3 linked regions of the Lonchura striata genome follow. The main gene of each other region encodes a partner of the protein of the gene in region 3 in a complex. Links are inferred from orthologs where the notes say so. Each region holds a gene or a part of one and is shown on either strand. Other genes may lie near its edges.

Region 1 (6,956 bases), about 11 Mb from region 3:
ACATCTCAGTACGGAGGCCTCCCTTGAGGCTTTCCCCCTCCACAGTCATTGTTCTAGATGTTCTGCTAACCACCCCCACCACGTCAGAGTCCTGTCTGCAGGAGCCTGTCTCGGCAGAGTCTTGACAAGTCTCCACTCTGAGCTGAATCCTCAGTTTCCTGTTGACCTGTTCAGAGCTCACAGCCCACCTGGCCAGTATCTCTCCCTTTCCCTGCAGCCCTGCAGGGACAGGGAGCCGCTGGTGCTGCGGGGAGGAAAAAGGAACCACAGTCTCTTGCATCCTTCAGCTCCATCAGCAAGGAATCTCTCAGCTTAGACCCTTGTGAGATGTCTTACCTCACCTGTGTCCCGTACTGAACAATAAATGAAAAACAGAAAAAGCAAAGGTGTGTCCTGGATCTTACTTGGAAGCATCTCGGGGACAAGCAGCATAGAGAACTTACTGCTTTTTGAGGTGGCTGGTTGCAGAGAGGGTTTTGTGGGCTTTTCCCTGAGAGCCCACCATTACTCCAGTAGGCACTACATGGGTTCAACCTGCATCTTGCTTCTGGCATATAACAGCTCTTCTTTGGGCCTGTGGTGATTTTGTTATATCTGTGTATCTATTCCAGTAGCTGCTGGAGCACCTGGCTGTTCCACCAGTGAGCCAGTCTTCCCTGGCAGGCTCAGTAATGTGCTCATCCATGCTCTTTGCCTGTAAGCCTGGTAATTGACTTTGCTCACTCAATGTAGAGTGGAGCAGCTCAGTCTCTGCAGGGAAGGATTTTATTTAGGCCCTGTGTTGGGGCAGTACTTGCTGCTTGCTTTCAGCCATGTGCTGGTGGGTGAGAAAGCAAGACTTGATGTTACTTCCCAGCTAGCTGCTGGGGTTTTTTTGGTAGTACTGAGGGTGATGAAAAAAAAGTGCCTTACAAGGAGGAGCTTATTTGTGAGGCAGTACATCCTTGGGAGCCTATGGACAGTGTTCCAGCTGCTAGTGCTAGCATCACTTGAGGGATAAGGGGCCAAGAGCTGAGGAGCAGGGAGGAAAAAGCCTCTGGTGCTGGGGGCGGTCCTGCTGCCTAGCTGGATGGGAGGGATCTTCCTAGGATATCAGGTGGTCTGAGAAGGACGGGCTTGACAGCAGCAAGGAGATGGCAGCTCCCAGCTCTGTATGTGTGTGGAGTGAAATAGAAAGAAGGAGGATGGTTCAAAGACAAAAAAAAAAAAAAAAAAAAAAAAGGCAAACTGAAAACTATATAACCAGAGCACATGTTTCTGAGAGACTGCTGGGCCATGGCTGTAGGTTGGGGCTGTTGGGTCATACAGACCAGAGCAGCAATGTTGCAGCAGGGGCACACGGTGATCCTAAGGCTGCAGGGACTGGGTACAATCACTCAGGGCTGGGCCACCACCCGCTGCAGCTCTGCTATCTGCTCCTGTTCCTGCCCAGCCCTGCCCACAGTACAAGAGCCCAGGAGAGTGACCTACATAGAAGAAAACAGATGGGAGCTGGCATTGATCTTACTGCTTTGAGAGAATTCAGGGGCATGAAAACATTCATTTAATGAGGAATAAACTCATGGAAAATAATTTCTGTATCAGCAGGAGTGCCAGATCTTGTTTCTCTTTTTTTTTTGTCTGCTTCCTGGCAGGACTGCAGCTCTCTGGAGTGGAAATACTGCCAGATCCTCACAGCAAACTGTAGTGGTTGGATCTTAAACAGGTTGCTGTTGGAGAAAAATGCACTGTGCCAGATGTAACAGCCTGAGAGAGGCTGCAATGGCTCCGCATCCCCAGCCCCAAACAATAACCAGGCTGAGCCTGTATTCCCAGTAGGCACCACACACATGCTGGACTCAATGATCCTTGTGGGTATCCCTTTAAACTCAGAATATTCTGTGACTTTGAATATATTGTACTTAAACACAGCCATGGCTGGCCACACAGATCCATCCACACAGAGCACTCCCACACAGCACTGACAGCCTCATCCCACGCCCTGCTCCAGCTGAGCAGGACAGAAGTGCGCTAGTGAGCGTCTGTGTCCATCTGTGTATTTACAGAAGAATTTACACTCGTGTACAGCAGGTCTCCTTCCAGCAGCTGCCTCAGGCAGTGCCCAGGAGCTGCCCCTCACTCCCAACCTCTCCAGCCCCCAGCAGCAGCTCCCTGTGGTGTTCTGACCACGAGTTCCTCATGCAGGGCAAAGTGCAGAAGGAGTTTAATGAGAAGATCTGACAGGCTGCGCTGATCAGGTGCAGGACATGGACAAATCATCACAAACCATTTACACAGGACTGGCCCTTTTTATTCCTGTGTGCTGTATTTGTTTCTCTGTGACCTAGGTCACCCTGGCTCCTGCCCTAATCACTCCCTAACGAGTCCTGTGCAATCCCCAAATGCTCTTCCCCTGCGTCTCATCCTGTCCCACACCCCTGAAGACAGTGACACCCCCAATGTTAAAGGTGCTCTGGGGCTGAGGCTCCCCTGGGATGGCACTGGACAGGGTGTTCTTTTCTCTGAGTCCTTAATTTGGGTTTCCACCTGCCACTGTGCCCCTCGAAATGGGCCTTTACTGGGCTGATGGCTCCTGGGACGGGCCTGGAAGCAGCCTGGCAGGTGCTGCTTGGGCTCCCCCTCCTGCCATCACCGCCTGTGCTCCTGTGTGGGTGTGCAGGCCAGGTTTTAGTACATACCCTCCTTAATTGTTGGTATAATTAGGTTTGGGATATAGAATCTAAACAAAAATTTTCTAGTTTAAAGATTCGTGTTTCTGTAATTAGGGGATGTTTAGGGCAGGAGGCAAAGGCAGGAAAGGAAGTGTTCATATGCAGATTAATGCTTTACTCTGAGGGTGGTGAGGCACTGGAACAGGTTGCCCGGAGGAGTTGTGGCTGCCCCATCCTTGGAGGTGCTCAAGGCTGGGTTGCACAGAGCCCTCAGCAACCTGGTCTAGAGGGTGGCATCCCTGCCTGTGACAGAGGGATTGAGACGAGCGGATTTTTGAGGTTACTTCCAATCCGAACCAATCTGTGGTTGTGTGGTAATGAGCAGGGAGTGAACTCAGATTCACATTCACATGTGTAGCACAGGAGAAGGGGTCAGCACTGGGGAGTCTAGCAGGACAAGGCAGGACGCAGCTTGCTGTGCAGCCCGGAGTGCAGGGGTGCTTTGCAGGAAGGGCGATAGCTGATGGTTGTGTGAGCAGCTCTGCTTGAAGCAGCTTACCTAGCGCTAATGTTACCCAGGCACTGCAAAGGAGCAAAGTGCACTGAAGGGAAAGAGCCTTGGACTTTGTATGAACTGCACAACACTGCTGACCATCAGCTCTGAGCCGCATTCCTGGCTGGTAAACACCCGGTGCTGTTGGCATGGGCTGGGCACGGGCAGCCTCAACCCTTCCCAGCCCCGCAGCCTGGAGGACAGGGCTGGAGCAGTGCACCCCAAAAACCCCTTCCTGTCATCCACGTGCTCATAATCGGGAGGCTTCATGCAAAGCTCAAGACTAATTCTGCTCAACATGTTAATTAAACATTTACTAGAGGGTAAATTAAGCGTTAATTAGGCATTCACCGCCCGAGTGCCCACCACCCTGCCTGACTTCGAACGGGCCCCGTTTTGAGCTGGGCGCGCACAGAGATCCCTTCCCACAGGGGAAATCCTGCCGTTGTGTGGATAGGCGGCCAGCGGCAGATGTCGCCCAGGCGGCAGGCGGAGCGGGATCGAGCTCTCCGGGCCCGCGTTGCGGGCGGGACGCGCCCCGAGCTCTCCGGGCCCGCGGTGCGGGCGGGACGCGCCCCGAGCTCTCCGCGCCCGCGGTGCGGGCGGGACGCGCCCCGAGCTCTCCGGGCCCGCGGTGCGGGCGGGACGCGCCCCGAGCTCTCCGCGCCCGCGGCGCTGCGGGCGGCGGGCCCGCCCCCGTTCCCGGGGCAGCGGCCGCGCCCCGGCCAGCGCGGCCCGCCCGGCATGGAGGACGAGGAGCTGGAGGAGGAGGGGAAGGAGGAGCACGGGGAGGAGAAGGAGGAGGATGAGGAGAAGGAAGAAGAGGTGAGGAGGAGGCTTTCAGCACCGCCCGGCTGCGGCTGGGCCAGCGCTGGCCTTGTGCTCTCCTTGTCTCCCAGGAGCCGGTTCCCTGTCCCCTGACGGAGGAACACCTCAAGGAGGGCCTCTCTCTCCTCAGTAAGACCAGCAACGGGCTGGCCCACGCCTATGTGAAGTTTGAAGCCAAAGACAAGTGAGTGTGCAGTGCCTGACCCGGCAGAAGCCCTTTCCTTACTCCATGGCCATGGAGTGTTGTGCTGGACCGGCCGTGCGGGGTAGGAGCGTGTCCAGGCCCTGCTCTCCAGCCCCTGCATTCCAGTCTGGGCTTCAGCACAGCCTGTCCATCCTCAGCCCTGGGCACTGCCTCCAGACACACCTCTGGGAACACCAGTGTGTCCTAAGCCTGCCCATCGCTCTGGACTGCGCTCTCCTAGGGGGGCCTGCACAGAGTGACCTCCCTTACAGGCACTTTGAGAAATACCCATTCACATCTGGCCTCCTAATTGCTAACCTTCAAGACAGGCAGCTCTAAGTACTGTGCCACAACAGCCTTGGAACAGTTTGGAGCCTCAGCCTCCCCAGCACAGCCACCCAACTAAGGCCCCATTAAGACTGTTTCTTTCAGCAGCCCCATAGGGTATCTCAACCACTATTTTTTCCACTAGAAAAGTCCTTCCACTCAATCCTTTGTGTTGACACTATTGTCTAACAGACCCCTCCCCAAAACTTACCCATTTCTCTGCTCTGGTTGTGCCCTGTCCTGACAGATACAATTTAATTGGAATAAATACTCCCTCTGCCAAGAAAGCATGTCCAGTCTTACCATTCATCTTTGCTTACAGGCCTGTCCCTATCACCTGCCGTTTTCTTCCTTCTCTCAGCAGAGCTTTCTAGCAGCAGGGAAGTAGGAGAGGTGGTTGCCCTTCCTCCAGTAGTGGCAAGGAGAAATCCAAAAGATGGTAGTGGGGAAATATGAGAGATATTTTATTCACATTCACTCTCCCTCAGGGGCCTGACAGACATCAGCCTCCTCGAACGCTTCATTCACCTGCGGTATGTGGATTTGTCGAAGAACAAGCTGAAAGATTTGGCCCCACTGAGCAGCCTAACCCAGCTGCTTTGGCTGAAGGTGGATGAGAATCTGCTCACCAGTGCCAGCATGCAGGAGCTGCCCTACCTCCAAGTCATCAGCTTTGATCGCAACCGCATCATGGATTTTGAGGGCCTTACTCACCCCCTCCTAGCCAACCTCAGCCTGAAAGGTGATACGGTCTACCTGTCTTGTGGGGACACTCTCTTGGAAAGGTGGGATTAACTCCTTGTTTCTTCTTCCTCTGGCACTCAGAAAATAAAATCGAGACAGTGCAGGGCCTGAGTCACGACCAGTTGTTCAGCCTGGAGGTCCTGGAGCTTCGAGGAAACAAGATAAAGACCACAGCAGGGCTCGGCGTTTCCAAGCTCAAGAAGCTCTATCTGGTAAGGGATCAGCCATCCTGGGGAGTGGGACAGACAGAGCTGCTGCAGAGCCCAGCCCCTGCAGCCCAGATAGCACAAAGGGAGTGGCCATGAACCACAAATCACAGAGGAGTCGATGTTGGGGGCATCAGGTTCTTCCCTCACAGCCTCCTGCAGGAGGGCAGCTTTCCTTTCAGGCAGTGTTGGGCAAGCTTGTATTCCGTGTGCCCTGGGACCACTGGAGATCACTGGGCAAGCAACAGCTTTGTTCTTTGGGTGGCGAAGGGAAGAAATGCCTCTTTCTCCTCTCTGAGGCCCTAATCAAATACTGGTTTAAAGCCAGCACAATTATGTGATTTACACCTACACCCGCCAAAAAATAAATAGATTCAATATTGCAGTGAAACTAAGACAGGAGAAGCAGATTCTTAATATCATAAACAATTACTTCAAGGAAGCATTTACTCCTAGAGATGCAAGTGAAGAAAGTATGTATGGCTTAGCCCCATGGATCACACTGTGCTACAGCTTGCAAAGACTAAACAGATGTCTTGAGTCACTACCTCTTGAAAAGCAATTAAAGATGATAAAGGCTTTGAAAAACTATGTGGTTTCTTTTCATCAAGATTCCCTGGCAGAAAACACTGAAGAGATTGCTTGCTGAGATCGTCTGCAATTTTCTGAAGGGAAACTGGGATTTTATGACTGGAGGTGCTCCAAGAATGGATGAAGTGGATAAGTCACTAGATACAATACAGAATTTCAAAGCTTACCCAGTCACCTTAGTGAGTTATTGCAGGGAAGCAAACAGACCATCTCTGCTGAGGGAAGGTTCCTGGCATGACTGAGGGGTTTCTGAGCTGCCATGTGAAACAGGAAAATTGCAAGGGGTGATTGTTAAAACTAGAACAACTGACTCACAAGAATATTTGGGGCTTGAATTTATCTCCCATGTCTACCTGCTCATTAAATTATTTTGCAGGGAAATCTCCCCCAGTAATGCTTTGGTTTCTGTATAAAGACTGGTGTTATTTCAGCCTTGGATAAATGCAGCTGATGCCTCAAGGACAGGGTTCAAGATAAAGGGTTCAATTTAAGGAGCTAAACCACATTTGGTTAATGTATGACATAGCCACAGATTAAATTTCATAGTAAAAAGTGGTATGTGCTAGGAAGACTACAAGCTGGGTGTATGCCATGTGGCATTTGCATCATTTCTGAAGGTTATAGTAGGGCTGTGTTAGTTCCTGCCCATGGGGCAGCCGTGGTGGCAAAGGCTAACCTGAAAAAGGTGAAGTGTGCAGGAAGGGGAGAGGAGATCATGGTCAATGTATGGTAACTTTCCATAAGAAACAGTGGTATCACATCTGGGTGAAGAACTGGTGTCCAAGGGAAGGTGATGGTGCATCAGACAGAATGTTGTTTGATTTAGGGGAGAAAAATGGAACAACTCTGAAAAATATTCATTCTGCATTGTC
Region 2 (7,929 bases), on a different chromosome or scaffold from region 3:
CAGCTCTCTCCAGCATTCTCTATTTCAGATGTAACACAGAATCAATTAAACATAAAAATGAAAGATATATTAAATAGCATCAACTATATTGTAGCAATCTTTTTTTTTTTCTTTTTTTTTTTTTTTTTTTTTTTGCCTAAGTTAGATCTACCTTTTTTTCTTCATCTAAGTTTCTTCTGTAATTGTAAATCCAGTGTGCAAGATACTCTATTGGATCTGCTGGCCGATGCTCTACAACCTCTGCCAGTCCCTTCTTCAAACAATTTCCCAGGCATTGCTTCAGATACTGAGACTCCATCCAAATCTACTGACAATAAACAGACAGACATTAGACATCAATGTTAGAATTAAGTTAGGGGCTCTAAGAACTCTTGCTTCAGGTGCCAAACACTGATTATGACAATACTTTTTACTAAGCCTTCAATTTATACAAGAAAGTTATTTAGCAGTAATTTAGCTCTTAAAGGCGCCAGTGACAGCTCAGTTATAACAATCACTGCAGAAAAAAAAAATGCTTAAACCCCACCTTATTGTTTGGACATGTATAATTCATAAAGTACTTGGAAACACACTGCTAATTCTAGGGCTGCATGATAACAAAAAACAAAAAAAAACAAAACAAAACAAAAAAACCAAACCAAACCAAAACAAAACAAAAAAAACAACATTGAAAAGCACAACAGGACATTAAAAACTTCTATGCAGAGAACAGGCAACTAACTCTGAGGACAATTAAGGGTAATTTTAGTTTGAACTGTCAAAGCTATCTTTAAGAGATGTGTGCAAGGCGAGGGTCTGAACGCTCTACAGTTACGAAAGGCACAGATCTCTGCACACACTCCACCAGCCCAGTCTAAGTACACAGGAGCCGTCCTTTGCTGCCAAGGGGGCTGAAAACGTGCCAGGGCAGAGAGCCCAGGCAATGAATTGACACAGTGACTACAGCCCATCCTCCGCGTTCACGGGGGCTCCAGGTGGCCTTAGTGTGCCCACCCTCGTAACCCGGAGCCGCCGCCCACGCCCCCCTGCCCGGGCTCCTCAGCCCTGCCCCGGGGCGCGGAGCCCGTTACCCGCCTCCCTCACACTCCGCCAGTCCCCGGCAGCCGGTGCTGCCTGCTCCGCTCTGCTGTAGCCGCCCGCCTTCCCTCGGACAGCAGCTCCCGGAGCGCCGGGGCTGCAGCCCCCGGCCCGGCCCGGCCCCGCTCCGCTCCTACCAGCGCGCGGGGTTGCTCCGCAACAGCGGCGGCAGCGCAGCGGCCCCAGCGCCGCCCGCAGGAGCGGACGGAGGGGTGAAGGGCCTGGCCGGAAAGGTCCCCGAGGGCACAAAACCGGGAGGAGAGGCCGAGACCTCAGAGGGTTTTGTGGCCCTTGAGAGAGACTTGAAAAAAATGGAGTTGAATGAGCAGAGAAGAAACTGAAATTCAGCTATGGCAAATGCAGGGTATTGCACGTGGGGAGGAATAATCCCAAGTGCTGGGGGTAATCTGCTGGGGAGCAGCTCTGTGGAGGAGGATCTGATGGACAACAAGGTCTTGCAGCAGTGCCCTTGTTGCCAAGAAGGCCAATGGTACCCCCGGGTGCATTAGGAAAAGCACTGCTAGCATGTCAAGGGAAGTGAATCTGCCCGTCTGCTGAGGTTCTGCCTGGAGTGCTGTGTCCAGTTCTGGGCTCCGCAGGGACAGAGAGACATGAAGATCTGGAGTGGGTCCAGCAGAGAGCTATGAAGATCATTAAGAGACTTGGGCATCTCTTATAAGGAAAGAGAGAGCTGAGCCTGCTCAGCCTTGAGAAGAGATGCTTGATAGAGGACCTTATTAATATGTATAAATATCTAAAGGGGAGGTGCCAAGCTCTGCTTCGTGGTGCCAACCACTAGGACACCAAGGAATGGGCAGAAACTGATGCATAGGAAGCTCCATTTAAACAGGAGGCAGAACTTTACTTTGTGCAGGTGACCACACACTGGAACGGATTGCCCAGAGAGGTTGTGGACTCTATCTAGAGATACTGAAAACTGTCTAGATGCAGTTCTGTGCAACGTGCTCTAGGATGACCCTGCTTAAAGCAGGGAGGATGGGCCAGATGACCCATTGTGATCCTTTCCAACTGTTTTAATACCATCTGTCTGTGAGCAGTTTCCCTTCACAACTGATGTGATCTTTTTTGCTCCCTGCCAAACTCATCGGCTGACGGTCACCTCATATTTACCAGCTGTTTGTTTTGCTGTCAACTTCTAATCGGGTATTCAAAACCCTTGTAACTGCAGCTGGAAGAATTAGCTCCGTGTGTTTATTAATTCCGACGCGTAAGTGCGAAATGAACATCACCTTGGCCGCCCCCCGGCAGAACTGGAAGGCGGGCTGCTTCCCGCAGGAAAGGCAGGCGGCTGGCGGAGGCGCCGTGAGCGGCGCGGGGCCGGCTGCAGCTCGGGGACCGGCCGGGCGGTGTCGCTGGCGCGCCGCGGCCGCTCCGCGCAGGGCGCGGGGCGCAGGGCGCAGCCGCCGCCCCGGCCCGAGGCGCGGCCATGGCGGCGGAGCGCGGCGCGCCGGCCGAGGCGCTGGTGGGGCAGGTGGTGCTGCCCGGGGACCTGCTGCTGCTGCCCGCGCACTACGACGAGGACGCGGAGGGCGAGCGGCTGCGGCTGAGCGCGGGCACGGCGCCGCAGGGGCGGCTGCTGTGCGGGCCGGGGCTGCGGCGCAGCGGGGCCGGGCTGCTGGTGACCAAGTGCGGGCTGCTGCGGCACCGGCCCGCGGGCGGCGGCGCCTTCTGGGTGGACTCGCAGCAGAAGCGGGTAGGGTCCGTGTGTCTGTGTGTGTGTCTGTGTGTCTGTGTGTTAGCCCGCGCTCCCCTGACCCTCTGTCCCCCTCGCCCGCTGCAGTACGTGCCGGTGAAGGGCGACCACGTCATCGGGATCGTGACGGCCAAAGCGGGGGACGTGTTCCGGCTGGACGTGGGCGGCAGCGAGCCCGCGTCCCTGTCCTACCTGGCCTTCGAAGGTGCCACGAAGAGGAACAGGCCGAACGTGCAGGTGGGTGCCCTGCTTCGCTGCCGGTGACGCTTCAGCTGCGTCCTTTGGTGGCGCCCGTGTCGCGTTCCAGTGGCTTTTCTTAGGGGAAGTTAGGGGAGGTCTGGTTCTAATGGTTTCGCCTTGGTCCTCCTCAGAGCGTTTTGCACCACTGGCCGCGGCCTCTCTGGGGTTTTTTAGGACCGTAACTAGCGTGGTTTGTTCTCTCTCAGCTGGCTGGGTGCTTCACTCTCATGTGTTGGTTTGCCAGGAGCAGATGCAGTTCATAAGGTGCCTCCGAAAGGGCGCTCCGATGTTAGGGTTTTAAAACGTGATGCTGGTAGAAAATATTAGTTGTGTGGGTTCTTTTAACAGCGCTGTTATGAATGGTTGTGTTGCACATGCATGCCATAGTTTCTGCACTCCCATGAAATGCCATTACCAGAATGTAAAAGGTAAAACTGTAAAGAAAAACAAAATCGGTGTGATATTTTTTATTGTTGTCCTGCTAAATGATTATAAGAGATAAAATCCTGTACTTTTGTTCTTTGACACTGTTTTGTTTAGGTGGGAGATCTTATTTATGGTCAGTTTGTTGTAGCAAATAAAGACATGGAACCAGAGATGGTGTGTATAGACAGCAGTGGAAAATCAAGTGGCATGGGAATAATTGGACAAGACGGCTTCCTCTTTAAAGTTTCCTTAGGTCTAATAAGAAAGTAAGTACTAAAAATGTAATTAGTCACTCTCACGTATAAATTACCACAGCTGTTTCTTCTGAGTAGTGTGGGCAGTTTGGTAAATCAGACTGTGTGATTCTTGTAGTGCGTTGAAACCAGATTTACTGAATAGAGTATGGATTGATCTAGAAGAAAAGTTTATTTTTTCTTTTAAGAGACTTAGAAGCTCTTTTGTATGGTGTTACATCACCTGTTTAAAAATAGTGATGTGGATGCCAAGGCAGTATGGAAAATAAAAGTAGTGTCTTGGGGTAGTCAAACATTCAGGATAGTGTTTCAGCTATGTACATATTACCTTGGAGTTTAAAACTTGGCAATGCTTATTGTCCTTGTTCTGTTTCGTGGGGGTAATAGAGGGTGTATGTTTGGCTGACAGCTGATTAAAGGGATCTTTGCACATCAGTACACATTATTTTCTGACTTCCAAATAAAAATAAATAACATTGAAATACAGATTTTAAAAATGTTGGATTTTAGTTTAAGGCTGACACATAAATCCAGGAACTGTTTCATAAGCTTTTAAATGTATTGTGAACTTTGGAGTTGCTTATGCTGATGTAAATACATGACTTTTTTTTTTGTGACTGTTAAAGTATACCAGATTACATGGATAAACAATAGTCAAAATTTGTTTTTGCTTTTTGGGTGGAGTTTTTTGTTTGTTTTGTCATTCTTTGGATAAGCAATCTGGCACTGCAGAGCAGCTTTTTCATACCTGGCATTGTCTGATTTATATGTCCTATTAGAAGTCAGCATGAACTGATACAAAAGCTTCTTGCAGCCATTCTGTTTTCCAAGTTTTGTCTGTATACAAGTAAAAAAAATAACAGCATATTACAAGTAAACTGCTAAATACTGGTATGCTTTTATTTTTTGTGAATACTTGTCTAATCTTGATTTAATTCTAGACGCATTACAGGATTTAGTATGTTGTCATCTAATAAAAATGAAGTAGGCTATTTATTGCTGTTAATACTGTTTCCTGAAATAGAAGGGAAGTCCTGTTTTGAAAGACACCTCTGGGGTGTCAAATAAATAGCACATCAAAAATGTCATTTGGTCAAATTGTGTACTTTTAGATTTATTTGCTCATAGAATTGTGTGTAAAAGTATCAATTAACTTTAAACTTATCAGGGATTGCTTCTGAATCTAATGACAAAAGTAAATTTATAATGGCTTTATTTTTTTAGGTGCATGCATTTTATATGCCAGGAGCCTTGAAAATCTGATACTGTATTGCTATGTTGGATGTATATAGAACTTTATAATCTTTCAGTGTTTCTTAAATGGCTCCCATAATAGCAGTACTGCTGGAGCTACTGGTCAATAATAATGTGGTCTCTGTAAGCATGATCACTCCTTCCTCTGACTTTTTTTTTGTCTTGTTCACAGGCTCTTGGCTCCCAAATGTGAAATAATTCAAGAGTTGTCACAATTGTACCCATTTGAGCTGGTGCTGGGAATGAATGGAAGAATATGGGTAAAAGCTAAAACAGTGCAACAGACTTTAATTATAGTAAATATTTTGGAAGCCTGTGAGTATATGACTGCACAACAGAGAAAACAAGCGCTTGCCAAACTGTCAGGGAACTGATAAGAGAAAACCTTGAGGATTGTTTGTGATGACTGTAGGGTGTTTTGGTTATTTTTGTATTCAGATTTATATATTAAAAGCCTTTTTTTAAATGAAGTACTCGATTTTGGTTGGTCTTCATTTCCCTTCTTTATCCACTCAGCTTGATTCTGTGTTGTTTAAGGAGTTTGTTTTGACTCGCTTTTGTGGTTATCAAGCCCTGTTTATGTTCATGAATTTTCTGACTAATGGGTCTTTGGAAGCTTTCATTAGCTTTCATTAGCTCTGAATTTTGAAGCTTAACTACCTAGATCTTCTGGTCATTTTGTGAGCAGCATGTAATTGTTTTTATGGTTATTAAAATTTCAAACCATCCATGTTTACTTTGGATAGCAAAAAGTATCCCATGGGTCATTAATTTTGGTTGGGTGCTATATTTATACAGTGACATTTAGTAATTATTTAATATATTATTACGTTTGGGATTAGAAATGCAGGTAGAGAATACTAGAAAATAATTGCAGGGTGTAGCATAAAGCAGTCACAGGGTGGTTAAGGCAAATGATCAGATAAGACCAAAAATATGTTCACAGGGACACTGTCACTTTCCCTAAGTGATGACCTGCCTGTTATTATTAAAGACATAGTGATAAGGATGTCACAATAGTAATCATGTGTTTTTTGATTTAAGACATTGTTTTCTTATACCATAAAGATGCCTTAGAGCTTTGGTAATATTTAACAAAACCAGCATTTCTGAAAAAAAACTATGTTTGGCTTCTTTGTGTAACAATCCCTTGATGCATATAGAGGAGATGCTGTCTTGGAAGGGTAAGCTCTCAGAATTTTAGTGTATGAGTAATTTGCTACTGTTTCGAGAGAGGAAGAGAACCCTGGATTAATGGAAGGGGGTGGAGTTGTGTTATTGCGTGTTTTATTATCATTTCACAATGTAATGGTTCGTTCCCGTGTACCCCCACATTCAGCTTGGTTTGTCCCTGTTTTCCTGCCTTGCCCTGGGTGTCAATCCTCCCCCGAGTGTCAGTCATTCCCTTGGCCCCTCCCAGGCTCCCTGTCTGTCACTCGGTGTCCCCGCCCATACATCCAGAACCTTCCATCCTGGCTGCCTGGTGATTGGACAGGGGCCTGGGGCCCCGCCCATATCCATCCCTCATTGGTTCCCATATGTGTCTGTCTATACAAGAGCCACTCCCCTTGTGCTCCCATTGGCTGAACAATTCCCTCCTCTCAGTATATAAGGTGTTGCAAGCGCCCTGCTGGGGCTCTTGTTAGCTGGCGTTGTTCAGGTGTTGTTGGGCCCTGCTGGGCTACAATAACCTTTGGATTCAGCCCCTAACAAGAGACTCTCTTCTTTGCCACGCCGTGGGATTCAGCTGCGCCTGTCAGACCCACAGAGCACTCTCCAAAGCCCTGCTGGGCTCAGCGGAGGGTGCTTCCATTTGCCCTTCTCGCCCCATCGGGAGCTAGCCGGGGCAGAAAGGGACTGAGAACTGAGACTGGGGTGAGAGCGCAGCAGAAGGGTGGTTACTGATGCCTTCTTCCTGTGGGAGAAAAGTTTGATTGTAGGTCCCGAATGAACTTCTTGCAGCTGTTAGGCAGTCATTTAGATCTGTGATATTCTGTGGTTCTTAATAAGCTGGATGGTTAATAGCAATAGTTAAAGGAAATTACTAAAAATGAATTAATTAGGGTGAGCCTAAATACCATCTTAATCAAAGTGGAAACATAATTTTTCCTGTTTATTCTGCATTTCATTAATCCAAAGCTCAACCTGGTTGATGATAGGGTTGTCTTTGGCATCTCTGTCATTTAGAAATTGCTTCAGTTCAGAGCCAGCTCCTCTGAGTCATCTGTAACGTGCTTACCTAGGGCTTCCCCTGGTTCAACAAGAGCACAACTCTAATGGTTTCCATGTGAGTCAAATGGCTACAATTCAGAATTCTTAGTGAATTTCACTGATCTCCTTATTTAGCATCTAGGGCATTGCTCATCTGGCTTGGTAGGTCTTTAGTCATCTTTTTTCACCTGTCATCTCCCAGGTGAAGTGGCTTTCATTCATATCCCATAAACTTTTTGGGTCTGTAGTCTTATCTCTTACTTCTCTTACACATGAGAAGCTGTAAATTAATCAGGTTTTCAATAACTGTTCTTCTCTAGAGCTTTTTTAATTTCAGCTAACCAGAGCCTCTGCAGGTTGTCTGTTGTTAGAACAATAGCTGGCATAGGCAGAAAAGCATTTGCCAAATTATCTCAGGGTGCTGACTTTTTTTTGTGATTTGTTCTTGGATCGTAATAGTAAAACCAAAGGAATAGGCAATGACAGGTAATTTCCTGAATAATTGTGGCTTGAAATGGAATTAGCTGCACCACTACACTTTACCTAAGCAAACTTCTTTCCCTTCCAAAAGCCTGTGCTCCAAGTTTAACCTGCAAGATGCAAATGAGCAATCCCAGTAAAAATGCTGGCTTGGTAGTGTAGCACAGCAAATGGCAACCTTGAAAGGTCTCAACACAACCAGCACACTATTTCATACCACACATCATGCTGTCCCATTGTCACTCACTTATCACCCAAATACAAATTTAGTTA
Region 3 (8,076 bases):
AAAGTCCAGATTTCTTTTCCACCTGGGATAAACCTGGAATGCAACTGCTTCTTCTTGTGCAGGTTTCTGCCTCAGCATTCCTTTTTTTTTTTCTGGCCTTGCAGAGTCACAGGCAGTGAATATGCTTAGCAGGTCTTCCCCTGTACAGAACTAGGCTCTTGAGCAGAAGTATTTATATACGGAATTATATAAAGCTAATTCTTGGTGCTTTTACCTTCCTGCAGATTACCTGCCTTGATATATCCAGTGGTGGAGGACTCGGAGTGTCTACCAGCACAGACGGGACCATGAAAATATGGCAGGCTGCAAATGGAGAAATAAGAGTAAGAACATCTGGCTTGGATATTTTTGTGTTGTCTGTGACATTCCTGAAGTCCTGAAGGCCATGGCTTTGGTCAGGCTGTCCACACCCTGTGAAGAATCCGGCTTTTTAATGAAAAGCTAATTGAAATTGGACATCTTGGAGGCTTTAAGTCAAATCTGCTGGAAAAGGTGGCCTCTCCCAAGGGGGATGTTGCTCAGAGAGGTACTCAGGAGTAAAAGGTCACTGACAACCCCTAACCTGCATGGTAAATGCACTGAATTTCTTATGAAAAAGAGAAGAGGGGAGGAAAAAAGATTTTGGTGCTGGATTAGGTACATCCTGGCTTGTGGCTTTCCCAGTAAAGAGGGAAGCTTCTTCTTGTGGAGCTTGACCTGTCAGCTTCTTGTTTGGCAGAGGATAAAGACATTTAACCTGTGTTTGTATCTTCTGCTATGTAATTAGCTGCTCAAATGGTAGAAGGAGGCCCAAAGTCAGCACTTTGCCCAAAATTCAGACCACTCCATTCCAGCAATGCAGACCCAGAGGATTTGAGTTTAATCCTTTGCCCACCTGAGAATGCCAAGATTTCCAGTGTCATAACTCAACAACTGCTCGGCACAAGGATGATGACAATGGAACTAGCACGTAGTTCTTTGTTTTTCCAGAGACTTTTGGAAGGCCATGTGTATGATGTGAATTGTTGCAGGTTTTTCCCATCTGGCCTCGTGGTTCTGAGTGGGGGAATGGATGCCCAGCTAAAGATCTGGTCAGCAGAAGATGCCAGCTGTGTAGTAACATTTAAAGGTCACAAAGGAGGTACAGAGCCCTTAAAATGCTTTATTTGCTGTGTGTGTACTTGCCTTGCACTCCAGGGTTGATGTCCAGTTGCCAGCCTGCTGCACTCTGTGTTTCATGTCTAGAATGTGGCATCAGATGGCCCAGATTCTCTCTTCCCTGAGCTGCCAATGGCTGTGTCCAGGCTCTGGTTTTCCCTGTCCCATGAGGTGCTGGGCTTGATTGAGAGGTTAATAAACTCCATGGCTGGCTGCCCTAAACTTGATTCACTCAAAAACCCATCTTGTGCTGAACCTGCCATTGTTTTTACATGATTTGTGGGTTGGAAGTTGTTCTTCAAGGCCCCTTCCTACCCAAGACATTCTATAATCTGTGGGCATTGAAAATGCTTTTACAGCCATGTACCCAACCCAAACCAGGGGGTGTGGCAGAACCTTGGTCAGAGTGATGCTGCCAGTCACTCTCCAGGTGACTTTAGTCACTGCTTATTCCTTCAGCTCAAACTGCTGCAGTCTGTTTGCTTGGCTTATCCTGTCCTTTGAGCTTCTGTAGGAAAAGTGGCATTTAAATCTTCTGACCACCTGGCTGTTCCCTGCTAAGAAAACCACTGTCATTTTTCAGATCCAAAATTTACAGCCCACAGTAAAATAAAGTAGTTAAGGGATCTTAGTGCCAGCAGACACTGCTCTTTGGATGTTGCTGTAGCTGGACAACAGGGATGATGCTTTTGGGATTATCCGGGGCGGGGGGGGGACATGGGAACGTTTAAAAGTGCCAAATTAGAAGTTCATTTTGCATGGAACCAGCTCGGGCTGAGGTGAGGTGTTGCTGATCATTTGATTGATAATATCTTCCCTTTGTGGTTCCACACTGTGGAGTTTTCTGGGAGCTGTTGCCTTCCACAGGCACCTTTTTCTAGAAGCACAACTTGTCTGTGTGCGACTGCTGTCACTGGGGACAGTAGTCTGGAGCCAGTAGTCGCGTTCAGCTCGGGAAATCGGGTGCTTTTCGTGTCAGTATGAACACAGTCTGTGGTTTCATGCAGGTGTTTTGGACACTGCCATTGTGGATCGGGGAAGGAATGTCCTGTCCTGCTCCAGGGATGGCACTGCCCGTCTCTGGGACTGTGGGAAGTCTGCGTGCCTGGGCATCATCGCTGACTGTGGCTCTCCTGTCAATGGCATTGCCGTGGGCACTGCTGACAACTCCCTGAACCTGGGCACACCCGAGAAACCTCCCAGTAAGGGCCTTTCCCTTAAAATACCCCTCATCTCCCTGTCCCAAATTGCTTAGGTTTGTCCCCAGTAATCCCAAGTGATGGGAAAGCTGCTCCATGCCCTTGTAGCACCATGGGAAGGGAACAGAGTGCTCCAATCCTGGGTGGAATTTAGCCCTATCAACCTTCATCATTACTGAGTGATGAAGACTGAGCTCTGCATGGTTGCTGGCCTTCCTGGTGTCTTGGGATCTGGAGGAATCTTGCCACAATTCAGCTGGGGCGATCCAAGCTGTTGGGTTCTGATCCCACCAAGGTTTGTTGTGCAGCTGGAATTAGCTGTTGTCCTTTTTCCAGGTGAACGTGAGGTGGGGACAGAAGGGAAAATCCTGCTGCTGGCTCGAGAGGACAAGAAGCTTCAAGGAGTGGGACTGCAGAGCAGGCAGCCAGTAAGGATCTGGGGCTGTCAGAGCACTGGGATGGGGAATTGAGCTATGTTAAACCTAAACTGGAGGAGAGGCCAAAGCCTGATGCAATAAAAGGATGCTCTCTCTCCTTCCTCCTGGACAGAATTTTATGTGAAGAGTAAGAATTGCTCAGGATTTAACCTGAGAACAGAGAAGACAGTATTTAAAATTAAACAGTGGCAGCTGCACTGTCTTCTGAATAAATGCTTCCCTCTTGTGGGTGTCCCACGTGCCTGACACTTGGTTTGTTCCCAAATCCTCAGGTGTTCCTCTTTATTGGATCTGATGCCTTCAACTGCTGCACATTCCTGTCAAGCACCTACATTCTGGCAGGGACTCAAGATGGGAACATCTACCAGCTGGATGTGAGAAACACAAAGTGAGTGAGTGCCTGGGACAAACAGCCAGTGTTTTGGTTGGAAAAGAGAGTCAGGCAGAGGGTGCTGCCAGGCGGTGCCACTTCCAAGGGATGCATCCCATTGCATCCTGAGCCTCTTGCATTATTTTGGTGTGCTGTGTGTATTGTTATATAAAATTATAAAATTATAAAAGTATAATCTGTGTGCGCATACGTGTAGATAAATGGGGCAGAAAAGTTCTTATCAATATTCCCCCCTCCCATACTGCCCATTTCTTTCCCTCATGTGGATCCTGACATTTACGCTGATCCTCATTCCAGCACAGGACTGGAACTGAGCTGTGGAGTTTTATTGCTGTTTCCTGCTAACTCAGTCCATAGGAAAAAATCATGGAATAGTTTGGGTTGGAAGGGGCCTTAAAGCTCATCCAGTGCCACCCCTTCCCATGGGTAGGGACACCTTCGACTAGCCCAAGCTGCTCCAAGCCCCATCCAGCCTGGGCTTGGACACTCCCAGGGATCCAGGGGCAGCCACAGCTGCTCTGAACAACAATCCTCATCCCTTGTTTCTCTTCCTTTTCCTAGTGCTCCAATCCAGGTGATCCACAGATCGGGAGCACCGGTGCTTTCCCTGCTCCCGTACCGAGATGGATTTATTGCCAGCCAAGGTAATTCCAGGGCTGTTTTTTGCCCCTAGAAATCCTATAATCGAGTCAAGGAGCTTTGTGCTCTTTGGGCATTGTCCTTTTGCCCCTTTGCTTTGGGATTTCCGGCCTCCATATCCCTCGTGACCCTCCACAACGGGGCCTCCAAGGCACGTCTCACACACCGGAGCCTTTTCCCGCTGGAGTTTCTGTCAGTAATGAAGAGCGTGGCTGGTTTCACTGATTGGCTGCTGTGCCTTCCTTGCAGGGGATGGCACCTGCTTCATTGTTCAGCAGGACCTGGATTATGTCCTGGATCTCACCGAGGCCGACTGCGACCCTGTGTACAAGGTGAGGAACGTGAGGTATCCCTGAGGAGAAGGTTGGCAGGGAAAGCTGATGCCAGGCAGGAGGCAGCTGCCTTTATCTCAGGCTTTTCACCTCAGCAGGTTCCCTCACACAGTTGACTTCTGAGTTTATCTTTATTTTTTCTACCTGAATAATCCTGATATTTTGCATAAACCAATCCTCTGCAGAATTCCCTGTCTTTATCTTGGTTGTGCAGGAGCTGGCTGGAGTGGTGGAGTTGGAGCAGGTCTGGTAGAGCTATGTTCCTATAAAAAATGTGGATAAAGAGTGCTGGGAGAATCCTGAGGGTAAAAGCAATGGTGCTGCCTGACCCATCTTGTTCCCTTTTTTTTTTTTTTCCCTTCTTCAGGTGGCTTCTTGGGAGAAGGAAATCTACACATGCTGCCGGGATGGGATAGTGAGGAGATACCAACTTTCTGACCTTTAAGTGTTTGAAGGAGCCAAATAAAGGAGAAGCGTCTGGGAAAGGCTCTTCCAAGCTGATTTTCCTGGGATGTGTGTGTTCAAGTTTGAGGCTGTTGTGATGACCAGGATCCATACACAGTGTTTTTGTAACAGGTCACATTTTGCTACTACACAAAAAGCTGGGATCAATTTTTAATTTAAAGAGGATCTTGTGTTGCAATGATGTTGTGGTTGCATTTCCAGTGCTGAAAATGTGCTGTTTGTAGTGGGGGGGAAATAAATAAATAAAGGGAGCGAGGGGGTGCAGTGAAAGTGATTGTCACAGTATGGAGTGAAATAAACCGCTGCTTTGATAGCACCTGTGTTAATGCATGAAGCCTTGGGGGTTTTTAAGAAGAAGAGGTGCGGGGTGAGGGGTGCGCGGGCCCGGCGGAGTTCGAAAGCGAGCGGGAGAACTACGCTTCCCGTGGTGCCTCGCGCGGCGCGGGGCGCGTCGCCATAGCCACGGGACGCCATGGGGCTGGACTACTACGCCGTGCTGGAGCTGGACCGCGGCGCCACCGCCGACGACATCCGGAAGGCGTGAGGGACCCCCGGCATCAGAGAGACACCCTGGGCGGGGGGCAGCGGGGTGGCGGCGGGACCGGGGCGGCCCCGTGCGTGGCTGGCCTTGGTTTCCCCCTGCCCCGCGGTGGGGCCTGCGAGGGGGAGAAGGGTCTGGGGGCAGCCCGGGCTGGGTGTGGGAATGGGGCCGGTGCGTCTGGAGAGACGGGACACAGGGAATGGCTTCCACTGCCAGAGGGCAGGGATGGGTGGCAGATTGGGAAGGAAATCATGGCTGTGGGGGTGGTGAGCCCTGGCACAGCTTCCCCAGAGAAGTGGCCGCCCCCATCCCTGGAAGTTGCTCCAAGCCCCGTTCAGCCTGGGATAGTGGAAGGTGTCCCTGCCTATGGCAGGGGGTGGGAAGGAGATGGACTTTGAAGTCCCCCTGAGCCCATCCTGTGCTCCTTAGCTATCGGAAGCTGGCCCTGAAGTACCACCCACTGAAATGCAAGGAGCCCTGGGGCCCGAAGAGGTTCCAGCTGCTGGCAGAGGCCTACGATGTGCTCAGCGACCGTAAGTGGGACTGTTCCCTTCCTTTGACTGCAGGGGCAGGAAGGGGCTGGGAATTCCTGCTCCCTGGCAGGAGCAGCTCCGTGACCCACAGCCCAGCTGAGAACTGGCACACCCATGTCTGTCTCCCCTGGAGAAGAGGGAACCCTCTTCTCCAGCCTCCACCCAGACAAATCCTGGATCTCAGGCTGGGGCTCTCCCTCATTTCCCAACATTTCCTTGTTCCCTAAGCTATGAAGAAAGGCATCTACGACAAATTTGGGGAAGAGGGGCTCAAAGGTGGCATCCCCTTGGAGTATGCGGGTGGCAACCGTTGGAGCGTCGGATACGTGTTCCACAACAACCCTGAAAAAGTCTTCAGGGAGTTCTTTGGAGGGGACAACCCCTTTGCAGGTAGGTTGGGAGACGTTGGGACTGGCTGAGGTCTTTCTGTGGCTGCCATGATTTCATGGCAGCTGCCAGCTCAGAACATCAAGCTTTCTGGGAATGCTTTCCTCCCCAACTTCTCTCAGAGCCCTCTGGTGCTTGGAGGAGAGATCCTGACTTCCCCTAGTCCTGGGTCAGGGAGAGACCTGGAGGTGCTGTTCAGGCTGTCAGCTTTCCCCATCTGCTCCTGTGACCCTTCCTGGGATTCCCATCATAAAGAGGGATTAGGGAGATGATGCTGCCATAAAGAAAGAACACACTTGGGGTGGTTCCAGCTGGGAGGTAACAAGCCTGGAGGAGCCCCCCAGCTCTGACCCCAGTGAGGACTGTCCCTCTGCTCCCTCCCACAGAGTTCTTTGCCGAGGATGGCTCAAAGGTGCTGCTACCCTTTGCAGGGCCCCGAGGCCGGGGGGCCGTGCGGCAGGACCCCCCCATCGTGCAGGATCTCTACGTGTCCCTCGAGGACCTGTACCAGGGCTGCACCAAGAAGATTAAGCTCTCCCGCAGGGTAGGGGCTGTGGGGCTGAAGGGGGTGGTTTTGGGGGCGAGCTCTGCCCTCACTGTGGGACCTTGGGGATTTGGGGATGGCCCTGCCCCAGGAGCTTGTCACAGGGAGGGATCAGAACCAAACCCAGGAGGAGCTGAACCAGTGTTCTTCCCCCCAGCTTGGCAAAGGGAATTCAGCATGGGAGCTGGTAGGAAGCAAGGGCTGATCTCGGAGATGAGTGAGAAGGAGCTCGTGTTCTGGGCTCCCAAAATTCCATTTTCACACTGCATTGTGTCTCCTTTTTGTGCCTTTGGTGACCTCTGTTCCCCCTCCTTGTTGTCCCAGTCTCCTGGACCCAGCCCTGAGTCTCTCCTGCTCTAGGACATGAGGAAACAGCCTCAAGCTGTGCCAGGGGAGGTTTAGGTTGGATATTAGGGAAAATTTCTGCGCTGAAAGGGTGGTCAGGCAGTGGAATAGGCTGCCTAGGGTAGTAGTGGTGTCCCCATTCCTGGAGGTATTTAAAGCTATGGGTTAGTGGTGGCCTGGCAATGCTGGGAGAACAACTGGACTCCATGATCTTGGACATCTTTTCTGACCTAAATGATCCCACAATTCTGTGATCTGATCCTGTTTGTACCCACAGCCACTTTGGTGTGGAGTACAAGCCAGGCTTACCCTTTCCTCTGGCGAGCAGAGTGCTGCTGACCCTCCCACTCTGTGCCCCTCCCTGTGCACGCCCAGGTGCTGAATGAGGACGGGCAGACCAGCACCATCAGGTGTAAGATCCTAACCATCCATGTGCAGCCGGGATGGCAGCGTGGCACCAGGATCACCTTTGAGAAGGAAGGAGACCAGGTGAGCACAGAACCACAGAATTATCAGGTTTGGAAGGGAGCCCTGGAGATCATCTCATCCAACACCCCTGCACAGGCAGGAACTCATCCAGGTGGGTTTGGGATGTCTCCAGAGAGGAGACTCCATGTTCCCCTTGGGCAGCTGTTCAGTCCTGTGCCCACTCCGTGGAAAAATTCTTCCATGAAGAAGTTCTGGTTTTCCACTGCTGAGGGCATTTGGCAGTGTGACCAACAGAGAGATTCAGCATTACTGTGCTCAGGAGCACTCTGAGGAGCCATCCCTGCCTGGATTTTCCTCAGAACAGATTACAGAAAAAATAATTGAAAGGGCTGGTTTTCTTCCTGGCAGAAACACAGTTCGGGATTGGCCCTTGGCTGGGCAGGCATCTTGGATAAAAGACTCCTTTTTCTCTTAAGGAAAGAAAATACCTTTCTCTTCTCTGTAGCCAAAACAGCAACAAAAGAGCAAGAATTTGTGTCAGTTTTCCCAGTATAATATAATTTTCAGGTTTCTAAGGACAGGTTTGATGTGGCCTGGGGCAACCTGGTCTCGTGGAAGGTGTCCCTACCCATGGCAGGGGGTGGAACTGGGTGAATTTTAATGTCCCTTCCAACCCAAACCGTCCTGGCATTCCATG

The links. Proteins that work in one complex are often made in the same cells at the same time.
Region 1: DNAJB13 (region 3) and LRRC23 share a complex: the UniProt entries of both Homo sapiens proteins name them as parts of the axonemal radial spoke complex. The link is inferred for Lonchura striata from reciprocal best matches to the Homo sapiens genes DNAJB13 and LRRC23.
Region 2: DNAJB13 (region 3) and DYDC1 share a complex: the UniProt entries of both Homo sapiens proteins name them as parts of the axonemal radial spoke complex. The link is inferred for Lonchura striata from reciprocal best matches to the Homo sapiens genes DNAJB13 and DYDC1.

Annotation. Positions count from the first base shown.
Region 1 is NC_134604.1:29,748,062-29,755,017, forward strand, and holds the start of LRRC23 (leucine-rich repeat-containing protein 23), read left to right. Parts: upstream 1-3,898; 5' UTR 3,899-3,948; coding exon 3,949-4,029; intron 4,030-4,103; coding exon 4,104-4,216; intron 4,217-5,031; coding exon 5,032-5,285; intron 5,286-5,368; coding exon 5,369-5,499; intron 5,500-6,956. UniProt on the Homo sapiens protein: Essential for sperm motility and male fertility. Plays an important role in the proper assembly of the third radial spoke (RS3) head and the bridge structure between RS2 and RS3 in the sperm flagella.
Region 2 is NC_134609.1:7,916,971-7,924,899, reverse strand, and holds the start of DYDC1 (DPY30 domain-containing protein 1), read right to left. Parts: upstream 3,059-7,929; 5' UTR 3,029-3,058; coding exon of another isoform or gene 2,879-3,028; intron 2,792-2,878; coding exon of another isoform or gene 2,525-2,791; exon of another isoform or gene 2,511-2,524; intron 305-2,510; 5' UTR 299-304; coding exon 152-298; intron 20-151; coding exon 1-19. Other genes in the region: EXOSC3 (exosome complex component RRP40), read left to right, coding at 2,525-2,791, 2,879-3,028, 3,572-3,723, 5,138-5,339. UniProt on the Homo sapiens protein: Functions as part of axonemal radial spoke complexes that play an important part in the motility of sperm and cilia. Plays a crucial role during acrosome biogenesis.
Region 3 is NC_134604.1:18,499,560-18,507,635, forward strand, and holds the start of DNAJB13 (dnaJ homolog subfamily B member 13), read left to right. Parts: upstream 1-5,023; 5' UTR 5,024-5,072; coding exon 5,073-5,140; intron 5,141-5,570; coding exon 5,571-5,674; intron 5,675-5,902; coding exon 5,903-6,064; intron 6,065-6,183; coding exon of another isoform or gene 6,184-6,224; exon of another isoform or gene 6,225-6,427; intron 6,428-6,447; coding exon 6,448-6,605; intron 6,606-7,325; coding exon 7,326-7,439; intron 7,440-8,076. Other genes in the region: PAAF1 (proteasomal ATPase-associated factor 1), read left to right, coding at 225-323, 970-1,120, 2,145-2,339, 2,673-2,764, 3,046-3,161, 3,726-3,808, 4,053-4,135, 4,503-4,580. UniProt on the Homo sapiens protein: Functions as part of axonemal radial spoke complexes that play an important part in the motility of sperm and cilia.